Linked DNA regions of Drosophila melanogaster. The protein of the gene in region 2 binds, or shares a complex with, the protein of the main gene of each other region. Each region holds a gene or a part of one and is shown on either strand. Other genes may lie near its edges.

Region 1 (4,565 bases), about 22 Mb from region 2:
GCTAATCTGTCTTACATATTTCCATATCGCCTCGGCTTCAGCATGGATTACGATGGTTATTCATTAGACGCATTCCTGGACGCCCTTGGCCAACAACTGGGACGCTTGCTGCGGTTTGCCGCAGGACTTTCGTCCTTCTTCTTGCTACCCCTGCCCCAGACAACTCAACTATTACCTCTCTCTTTCTGAGCCATAACTAGGCAAACCTTTTTTGCTCAGTGTGTGTGCGGAACGGCAGAGGAAAAACAAACGTCCGACTGCCGGGAAAATCTGTATAAGTGTGTGTGTGTGTGTGTGTGTGAAGTAAAAAAGCGCAACCGGAGAGGAGACGGATGGACAGCAGGAGGAAGAGAGAGGGGCGTTGGGCGATGGCAGGGCTGGAAGCGGAAAGCCGGAGAGTAAGAAAAACCATAACTAAATCCATTGCCATAGGAAAATCCAAAGCAAAGTCTGCGATGCAAATAGTAGAGATTATGGGACTGCAGATGTATGAAGAACGAGATGGAGCTGAATGTGAAACCCAAGGCGCGGCTGAGAAGGACCCAAAAGGGATCCAGGGAGGACGGAGGACGAAGGTCCCCGGCAGAAGGTGTTATGTGTACGTGTGTACGAGTGTATGAGGCACAATAAATCTTGCAAGGGTGCCGAATGGCCGGGCAAGGGGCCGGAGGCCTCAGGTCCTGAGTCCTGGATCCTGAATCCTGGGCATTGGCATGGATCTGAGACGGGACTTTGGCCTCCATTCTCTACGTCCCTGCTCCTCCTGGGCAGACCCACTGCCACCCAGTGCGCGCACGCCCCGTCAGTGAAAACCAAAACCAAATAAAACTGACATTATGCGAAAAGCGAAAGCCATAACTAAAAGTTGGATAACGTGGCCATGATGGAGCCGAAGTGGAGTGGGCAAGAAATCCGGAGCTGAAACAGCCGTAAAGTTGATACTAAACCAAAGAGCAGAGCTGGCAAAGCTAAAACAAATCGGAGATGCTATTGTCACGAGCTCTGGACGCGCAGGTGCCCTCATTTTAGTGATAGTGTGTAAAATAAATTATAGAAAATTATTGAAAAAATACTACTACTACAGAGTTACCAAACTAGTAAAGCAACCAACGATTTTTTCCGAAATCGGGTCAAGAATTAAAACTATTCCTTGCAATTTACATCAAATGCTAACAAGACTTTCTGGAAATGACTAGTAGTTTTATTTGGCAGTGTCATTAAACTGAGTTTTTCAGCTGTGCGAAAGTTCTTGTCTTCAGGTCTTAAAATATCGTTAAATTTTAATTTTTAAAGCAAACTTCTTTTGCCTAACTAAAATTGTTATAAGATATAGTTGGATTTAAACATTGGTGCCATTTTTATTTTGCAATTTTCAATTAATTGGTACTTAATTAGTACTCCAAGTACCTTATGAATATTACATTTTGCAATTGCTTAAAAAAATGTTAAAAGCATTTCCCGACCATTCGAAATGACATTAGGATATCATTCTAATTGCTGCCCCGGATAAACTTGATTCACTCCAACAGGTTTCAATTTGAACATCCTAGAAGCTCCTTATTGGATCATTAAATCAAGAGCGACTGAGCTGACCTAAAAAACTGAGAGGGCTTAAATGCTGCTAAGCGAACTGAGTTTGTTCCTTAATCGCCATCAGGACCAGCCAGAACCTCCCAGGACCACCCAAAAGGTAAATCCACGGCCCTGAGCTCGCGAATCCAAGCCACCTCGGGAGTGCACCACAATGGATTTGCCACAGCCCAACTCCATGGCACGAGCTGAATATTCTCCGATTTTACCCTTTCTGGGCGCTGGGCGCAAAATGTTGGTGGGGATACAGATATCGGGTATGAAAAACAGAAACAGGAAAATAGAAATGATAGCAAAGTTGCAAAGCGATGCGGTGCGGGCGGGCGGTCTGAAGGGGTTGCTGAAACGGAAATCGACTTTGGTAAGGAGTTTTTCTCGTACCTGTGAATCGGAATCTGAACGCTGGAGCTGCACCGAAGTTATGCAAATGTAAAGTTGTTCGTGCCTGCTCCTGGCTGCTGAATCCTGCCGCAGGATCTGGCACCTCCTTCTGCTCCTGCCGCTGCTCCAACTCCCGCTGTCAATCGAAGGCGATGTCGCGAGTGCTAATGACGTTTGCTTTGATTGCGCCCCGCATGCGAATCCAAATCTGAGCCACAACTCACAACTGTCATTTTCGCAAGGATACTCGCATATGTACGTATGTGCGATGAGTATGTAGAATAGGATGGGTTCTTGAGTGTCTATCTCAGCTGGTACTCGCAGCTCAGCTCAGCTCCTCACCGGAACTCTATTTATTTAATTTGCATGCAATTTTCAATTTTTATGCGGAATACTTGGCATTGACAGCAAACGATGCGCACATTTCGCATCGGCAATGCACAATAGAAATTGAATTGCAAAAATTTGTTTGCCCGTCCAGGGCAGCAGGCAAATGGATTGCGAACACAGTGGAATAGCGGATTTTGAGGGCTCTTCACGTCTTCACGCCAATGTCACAAGGAGCCGCATTCAAGGAGCCAGCGCGAGAGCTGAACGAGTCGAAGAAATCGCACAATTTGGCGGCGAAGATGTCAAGTATACGCCGCGTTGCCAGTGCCACACTGACTGCAATTACAATGGTGGCCAACAACAAAGACGGTATGCCGGTACGCCACACACACAGACACACAGAGGCATACACGGGCACATACGACACACGGAGTTGAAGCCACAAATACGTACGCTCCGCTCCGCAGGATCCGGAGGAGAAGTCTGAGGCGAAGACAGGCGACAGATCCTGGTATTGCCCCGTCGACAGTGTGCGAAATAAATGCACGCGCACACACACGTTCACGAAAAAATCCCGCGAAATTTGGCGACAAAAACCAAAACAAAACAACAACTTCGTGCGCTTGGGATCACGATGAATGTTCGATGCGAAATGCACAAATGCAGCTGCTCTCCACCACCGAACGCTCCGAAACTGAATTCGCAACTGAGCCAGCATGAAAAAGGATGCTGCCATCTGGAGCCGAAACGGCTGGACGCACGAAGGATGCCGACGAGCGGCACGATGACGCGGATGCTTCGGATGCTGGCTCGCAGAGCTTTTTTGGCGAGAGAGCGAGAGGAACTGGCATTGGCGACGTGTGACTTCGTTAAATTTCTGCGGCGACAGCACACAAAACGGATTCGGAAGCGGAAGTAGCAAGTAAGCGAGCAAGGAGCGCTCTGTGGCCATGTCTGGGTGTGTGTGTGTGTGTGTGTGTGGGTGTGCCTCTGTGTGTGTGTGTGGATGGGCGCGCTGAGTGGGTGGAGTGGCGCTGAAGTGGGCGAAGTAGCGCCAAGTGGCTGGCTAAAGTCGACTCGCGGAGCACGACCAGAATGGAAGTTTTGTGTTTGTGTTTTGCAATGCCAACTAAACACACATTCAGCTCCATACACACACACATATGTATGTCTATACATATATTATAAGTCAAACATACCTACGCCGTGGCATCAATATTCACATTCGCACTTGTGCGAGTATTTTCTGATTTGCTGCAATCGCGTTTGCCAACAACGAACTTGGCTAACAACAACAGCTGCCGGAGTCACAGTCGCAATCGTAGTGGGGTATTTTCCAGCGGATGTTTGGTAAATCTTTGGCGCCGGATACCAGCGCTGTCTTCCCCGGAGTCGCAATCCCGCCCCCTTAGATCACCACCCCTCGCGGGACACGCTTATACTCTTTTCATATCTTTCTTGCTCTTACACATGAAGGAACTTTGAAAAAACAATGTAAAAGTATACAAATTTATATGAAAACCTTTATTTAAAATTTTTTACTAAAAAAGGCATTTCATTTATTATCTCATATGCAAGGTATTTCAGTTTAAATATTACATTCATTTTATTTGAAAATATTCTTTTAATAATAGCGTTCATCATTATTCCTATAAAAAAAATTGTATTTTGTAAAAACTTGGACATTTTGCTCAGTGTACTAGCTTACACCCAGGGGTATGTATGTGTTGGTATCGATAACTAATAAAAGCATTACATTTATGTTAGAGTCAAGCGCCGTGGCCCCTTATTTTCCCCCCACTTCTGTTTCGTCCTGAGCAATAATTCAGTTTCCATTTCTCTGTTTTCTTCAGTTTCTCATTTTCATTTTGCAGCCAGTGCATGTGTGCCTCGGCACTCCTCTCACCCTCTCCGTTTTCCCAACACTTTTGCCACAGTCATGGCCAACTAATTGGAAACAGTAGCCAGCTGCGCTTTCTTGGCCCATTTTGTTGCTGCAGCGGCTTGGAGAGCTGGATCCTGGTGTCTCGTTTAGTTGCCAATTGCTTAGTTGATTTTCATTGTCTGCCCTTTGGGCCACACTCACAGGTGGCTAACAGGGCGATGGTATGGGTGGAAAATGTAGGGGTTTTTCCGCTGTATTGGCTTGTAAGTGAAACGATAAACGCTGTAGCTCGCTGTCATTAATTGGCTGCCGGTTGATGTTTATGTCGTTAGCTCTTCGTTACTGCAAAGAGGGAAAAGCGGATGGGACGTTTAATAAT
Region 2 (4,577 bases):
ATATTGCGAAATATTAAAAACGAGGAAAATATAGAAAACTCTGCTGTGCCAGTGGCAGGGTGAACGGAGGGGATGAAGTGGCGCAGAGCGGGGCCGCAAAAAGAGCTACAAAATAGCATAGAAAATTAATAATCGCGCAATTTTTGCGCCAGTAAACAATGAGAAAGTCTTGGCTCGTTAGTTTCCTCATTATTCTGAATTTTCAACTTGCTCTATCTGCCTCCACGAGAATTTCCCCGCTCCTCTGTGAACTTTTCTTTGTGTCCTGCCTCTTGCAGTTCCAGTCCAAATCCCTGAAAAGGACAAAACGCAACGCGCCACTGAAAATGGAACGTCGACAGACGAGCCTCGAGGTTGTGGGTTTGGGTTTTGGGCTTGCTCTAGCTACTGGGATTTCACTGGGCTGGCTGAGACAACTGTCTGACAAGATGGAGAACGCGATTTTACCGGAAAAATAATGAAAAAAGCGATTTAATATCATTTTTCATAGCAACAAATTCACAAGTCGCGTCTGCCACTTCTAGTCCCTTTTTTCTATCCTTTTAAGTGCACGGCAAATGAGCTGTTGTAGCTAAAAAGTTCATGGAACCTTAATGGATTTCAGATTTGTCATATTTCAGAGACAGGAAACTAATGAAAAAAAAGCCGATTGGCCTAAAATTGGCGCGAGAATTTTAGAAAAACATATTGCCAAACATATCAATAACAAATTTAAAATTATGTTTGTGTCATAGAAATAATTGTAAAATAAGATAAATATTACTGTATAATATAAAAGTTGTATTTTCAGAAAACAAGGATAATTTGAATTAAGAGAAACCCTTAAATAACCCTTGTAATCAGAGAATTGAAGTCTAAACTATCGAGGTAACGATATTGAATCTAATAATAGGTTCCATGCAATTTAATTGGATCCAATTTTCACCCTGTTGTATGTACTTTCCGAGCACATTTTCATACCTATTTGGCCACTCACAAAGAATCTTTATTAACAGATGGCCAAGTTTATTTAATCAGACAACCTATTTTCGAGTCCCGCAGACAGAGGACGAGTGGACCGAATTTAAAAGGCAGTCATGCAAATGATACCGACCTGATAGGGAGAGCCACAATTCCCATCGAGGCTGCTGACCAGCGGAGTACAACCGAAAATAGGGAAACAAAATCAAATTACAAGCGGGCAAAAAGGGCAAAGGGCAAAAGGCAAGCGACCAACAAGTTTTCCTGGGTGTCGACTCGAATTCGCATTGGAGGCGAAACGACAACTAAATTATTAATGCACAATGAACTTGAAGCGAGACCAGCTCGGCGAGCGGCAAACCAGAAAATATGGCCAGTGAAAAGTTGAAAAATATATGTACGTGTGGAAAGTGGGTATATGGGCGAATGCAAATGACATTAACTTGGTCGAGAGTAGGGCAAGGACAAGGGCAACCAGCAGCGGTGTAAGAGAATGCAAAAAATGGGGAAAATTATAATACGTGGACAAATTGCGTACAGGACAGCAAGTCCTGCTCACTCTTTGTTCTCCTTGCTGTCATTTTACTTTGCATTTTAAATCAACATTTGATTTTTAGTCGCATTCCGGCCATCCTACTCATGTTTCTTTTATTTGATATGCATTAAAAACTTTTCAACTTATTTATATAATTTTTCATGGGAATTTCACCTTTTGAAGTTCGGATATGAAATGCGTAATGATTTTTTCATTGCTGTTAAATAAACAATTGAGCGAGCGGGGGAGTTGCCAAACTTTTCCACCTGGGGATGATACCACAGCCCCGAGGACCTCTCATTTATTATACACTCAGCCGGATGAGAAGGCACCCAAAGCCGGTTGCGTGTATAGGTCTAATCAAATTCTGTCATTTAATTTGGGCATAAAGGTTAAATGGCTAAGAAATCCACTGGGGTGACCATTAGCTATTTAATTTATGGCCAAAGTCTCAATACAGGCAAAAATAATCATAAATCTTTGGGTAATGTAATGTGAATGTTATCCTTTCACTTTTATTTAATGATCCTTACGGTCTAAGCCTTTCGAAACATTTGTTAATTCTCTAACATTTGTGCTTAACTATTGAAAGGCCTGACAACAATTTTATTATAATTTTGAATTTAAAGAAAAGGAGTTAAAAATAGAACCCAGTAATTCATGCAATAACAATTAACTATTCTAAACAATTCTGTACAAACAATTCAAAAACAAACACCTGTCACTTGAAGATGATGCTTATTTTCAAAGAAGTAAATTTGCTTTTAAAATCTGTAGTCAATTAAGAAGAATAAAACCCAATCAAACCAAATCCTATTTTTATTAAATTCAATTTATTTATAAGCCCAATTCATAATATTGTTTATAAATAGGAGACTAATTGTATTAAATAATCTGCTGATAAAGGTTGTTAGCCCCCCTAAATAACCAATCTTTGTTTATTTATCCATATTTGGAAAGGGCTATGGTTATTGGCCCATCATCCGCATAGCTCTGTCCTCATGGCCCATAAGCTGCTTAACTATTTTAGTTTTCAGCGTGAGAGGGTACTATTTTATTTTCCATATGCAGCGGGGATTTGGAGTTGACTCACCTATGTGCAATTTTTCAATAAATACCCGGACTGGCGGCCTCAGAAAAAGATATCCAAAACACGTGACAGATTTGTCTGGATTACATACGCATTATACACACACACACACAGGCCGAACCTCACTACCTCACAGCCACCGCACCACACACCAGCGAGTGCGTGTGAGAATATCTATGGATTAACTTCAAATGAGACGCACAATTCAATGATGGTTTTGTTGTTACTTCTGTTGGTATCCTTGAGGATGCACTGCGAGAACGTCGCCCGGGTCGCGTATTACAAATCAAGCATACGCCAGGGCACCACACATCACATCAAGCATACGCCACCGAGACGCACCACCGACGCACTAGAGTCACGGCTTAAGTCACAGTCACAGTTTTGGGTCACTCTCACTGACAGCAACGGTACACACTGAGCGGTAAGCACAACTGAAGCCCACGACAACGGCATTCGAAGTGGCGACGGGTAATTTCAGCAGTCACGACAACCCCGCAAAAGCTCGGCCAACTCGCGGGAAAAGCCGAGCCAGCTAGCTCGGAAAACGGCGGTCTAAGAGACTCGAACTCTCTTTGGAAGAGAGTCCTTTGGGTGCGACTGCCGGCGGACATGCGCAGTGGGGTATTCACCAACCGGCCAACTGGCCCACTGGCTCTTCCAGTGCCTTACTTTTTCCCATGGATATGTCCCAAAAACAAACAGCAACAGCTGTTCCGCTGCCGGAGAAGACCCAAAAAAGCTGTCCTCCTTGTTGTCGGCTTGCTCTGACGCACTCTCACGATACTTCTCGATTTCTGGCTATATGTGTGCGGCGCTTGGCGTGTCTTAGGTCAGAAACGTCGGCCTCCGAAGTGGGTGAGGGTATGGGTGTGATGGAAGAACCTTTCCCGGTGCCGGCAGAATTTTTAATTATGATAAATGCTCATTCATAAAAATGAGTGGCATACATTTGCGTTGCGTGTTTATTTTTATACTTCGCATATTTGGTATATTCTGCATAATTATTATTGCCATTATATATCCCCTTTTTTACATCTCCACTGTCTTATTTAGCGCTTTCCTTTTGTTTTTATTGTTTCTTTTTTGTTTTGCTGTCAGTAATTTGTTAGCTCCATCTTTGATGGTTTCTCCCCTTCTGTTTGCACTTGACAGCCCAAGATTTATGCGACTGCAGTTGGTGGTGATTGCTGGGGAATTGGTTAGTGGGATGCGGAAATGGTGGGTGTTAAGTGGCTAGGAATAGGGGATGGGCCCCTGATGATCGACTGCCGTCTGCAGGTGTTGATGGCTCCGATGTGCCTCAATCACCATCAGCGTCGGTTAATAAAATCACAGGACGACATTTGATGAATGGTTGCAATTCTTGCCTGTGACATTTTTGAGGGGCAACCGATTATTCGACTATTAACCAAACACAGGCCAGCAAATATTTGCTGGAGCAATATTATTTAATAATATCGTTAATTAATTGTTATAAAATAATTTTATATTTTTATATTATAAATATATATGTATATCTCAATGGAAAGACAGCCCCGATTGGAACACCCTTCAAAAAACCTCGAATGAATTCCCGTATTAAGTAAAGGCTTTATGCCTACAAAGCATTGTTACGAATAAGATTGGTGAATGTAAGGTCCAAGCGACTCCGTCTCAATGCAATGTCCGACCACTCGACAAAAACCAAATTGACCAAAGTTAATTTAACCACTGTAAACAAGCCGGGACTCAAGTGCCCGGGCACTTGAAATGCTTCGCTGGCCACGAGCAGAGAATAAGGTGCAAAAATGGACTGATCGGGGGAAGAAAGGGAATGGGAATCGGGAGGGGTGCTGCAACATACGTATTCGTATACGTACTGTACTGAAAATCAATTGAAGCGCCAACAAACGCTTCAATCAATTTTACTTTGGCAAACATTGAGTGCAAAATAAATCACAGCAACGACTCGAGACGGTGGCGGACTCAGTACTCCCAGAACCCAGGATA

The links. Proteins that work in one complex are often made in the same cells at the same time.
Region 1: the proteins of dpr11 (region 2) and DIP-gamma are in contact, whole or in part, in a crystal structure (PDB 6NRR), measured with the Drosophila melanogaster proteins. Residues at the interface, in NP_001262320.1 of Drosophila melanogaster: Asn146, Lys147, Ser148, Ser150, Ile152, Leu154, Asp156, Gly157, His158, Ile159, Val162, Phe167, Ala169, Glu199, Gln201, Ser203, Thr204, Glu205, Lys207; in NP_651649.1 of Drosophila melanogaster: Lys69, Val70, Gly71, Trp72, Leu73, Arg74, Asp77, Gln78, Thr79, Val80, Leu83, Val88, Thr89, His90, Asn91, Gln122, Ile123, Asn124, Ser126, Met128.

The regions. Positions count from the first base shown.
Region 1 is NT_033777.3:28,967,360-28,971,924, forward strand, and holds the start of DIP-gamma (Dpr-interacting protein gamma), read right to left. Parts: upstream 3,014-4,565; 5' UTR 1,972-3,013; intron 1-1,971.
Region 2 is NT_033777.3:6,590,296-6,594,872, forward strand, and holds the start of dpr11 (defective proboscis extension response 11), read right to left. Parts: upstream 3,036-4,577; 5' UTR 2,589-3,035; intron 1-2,588.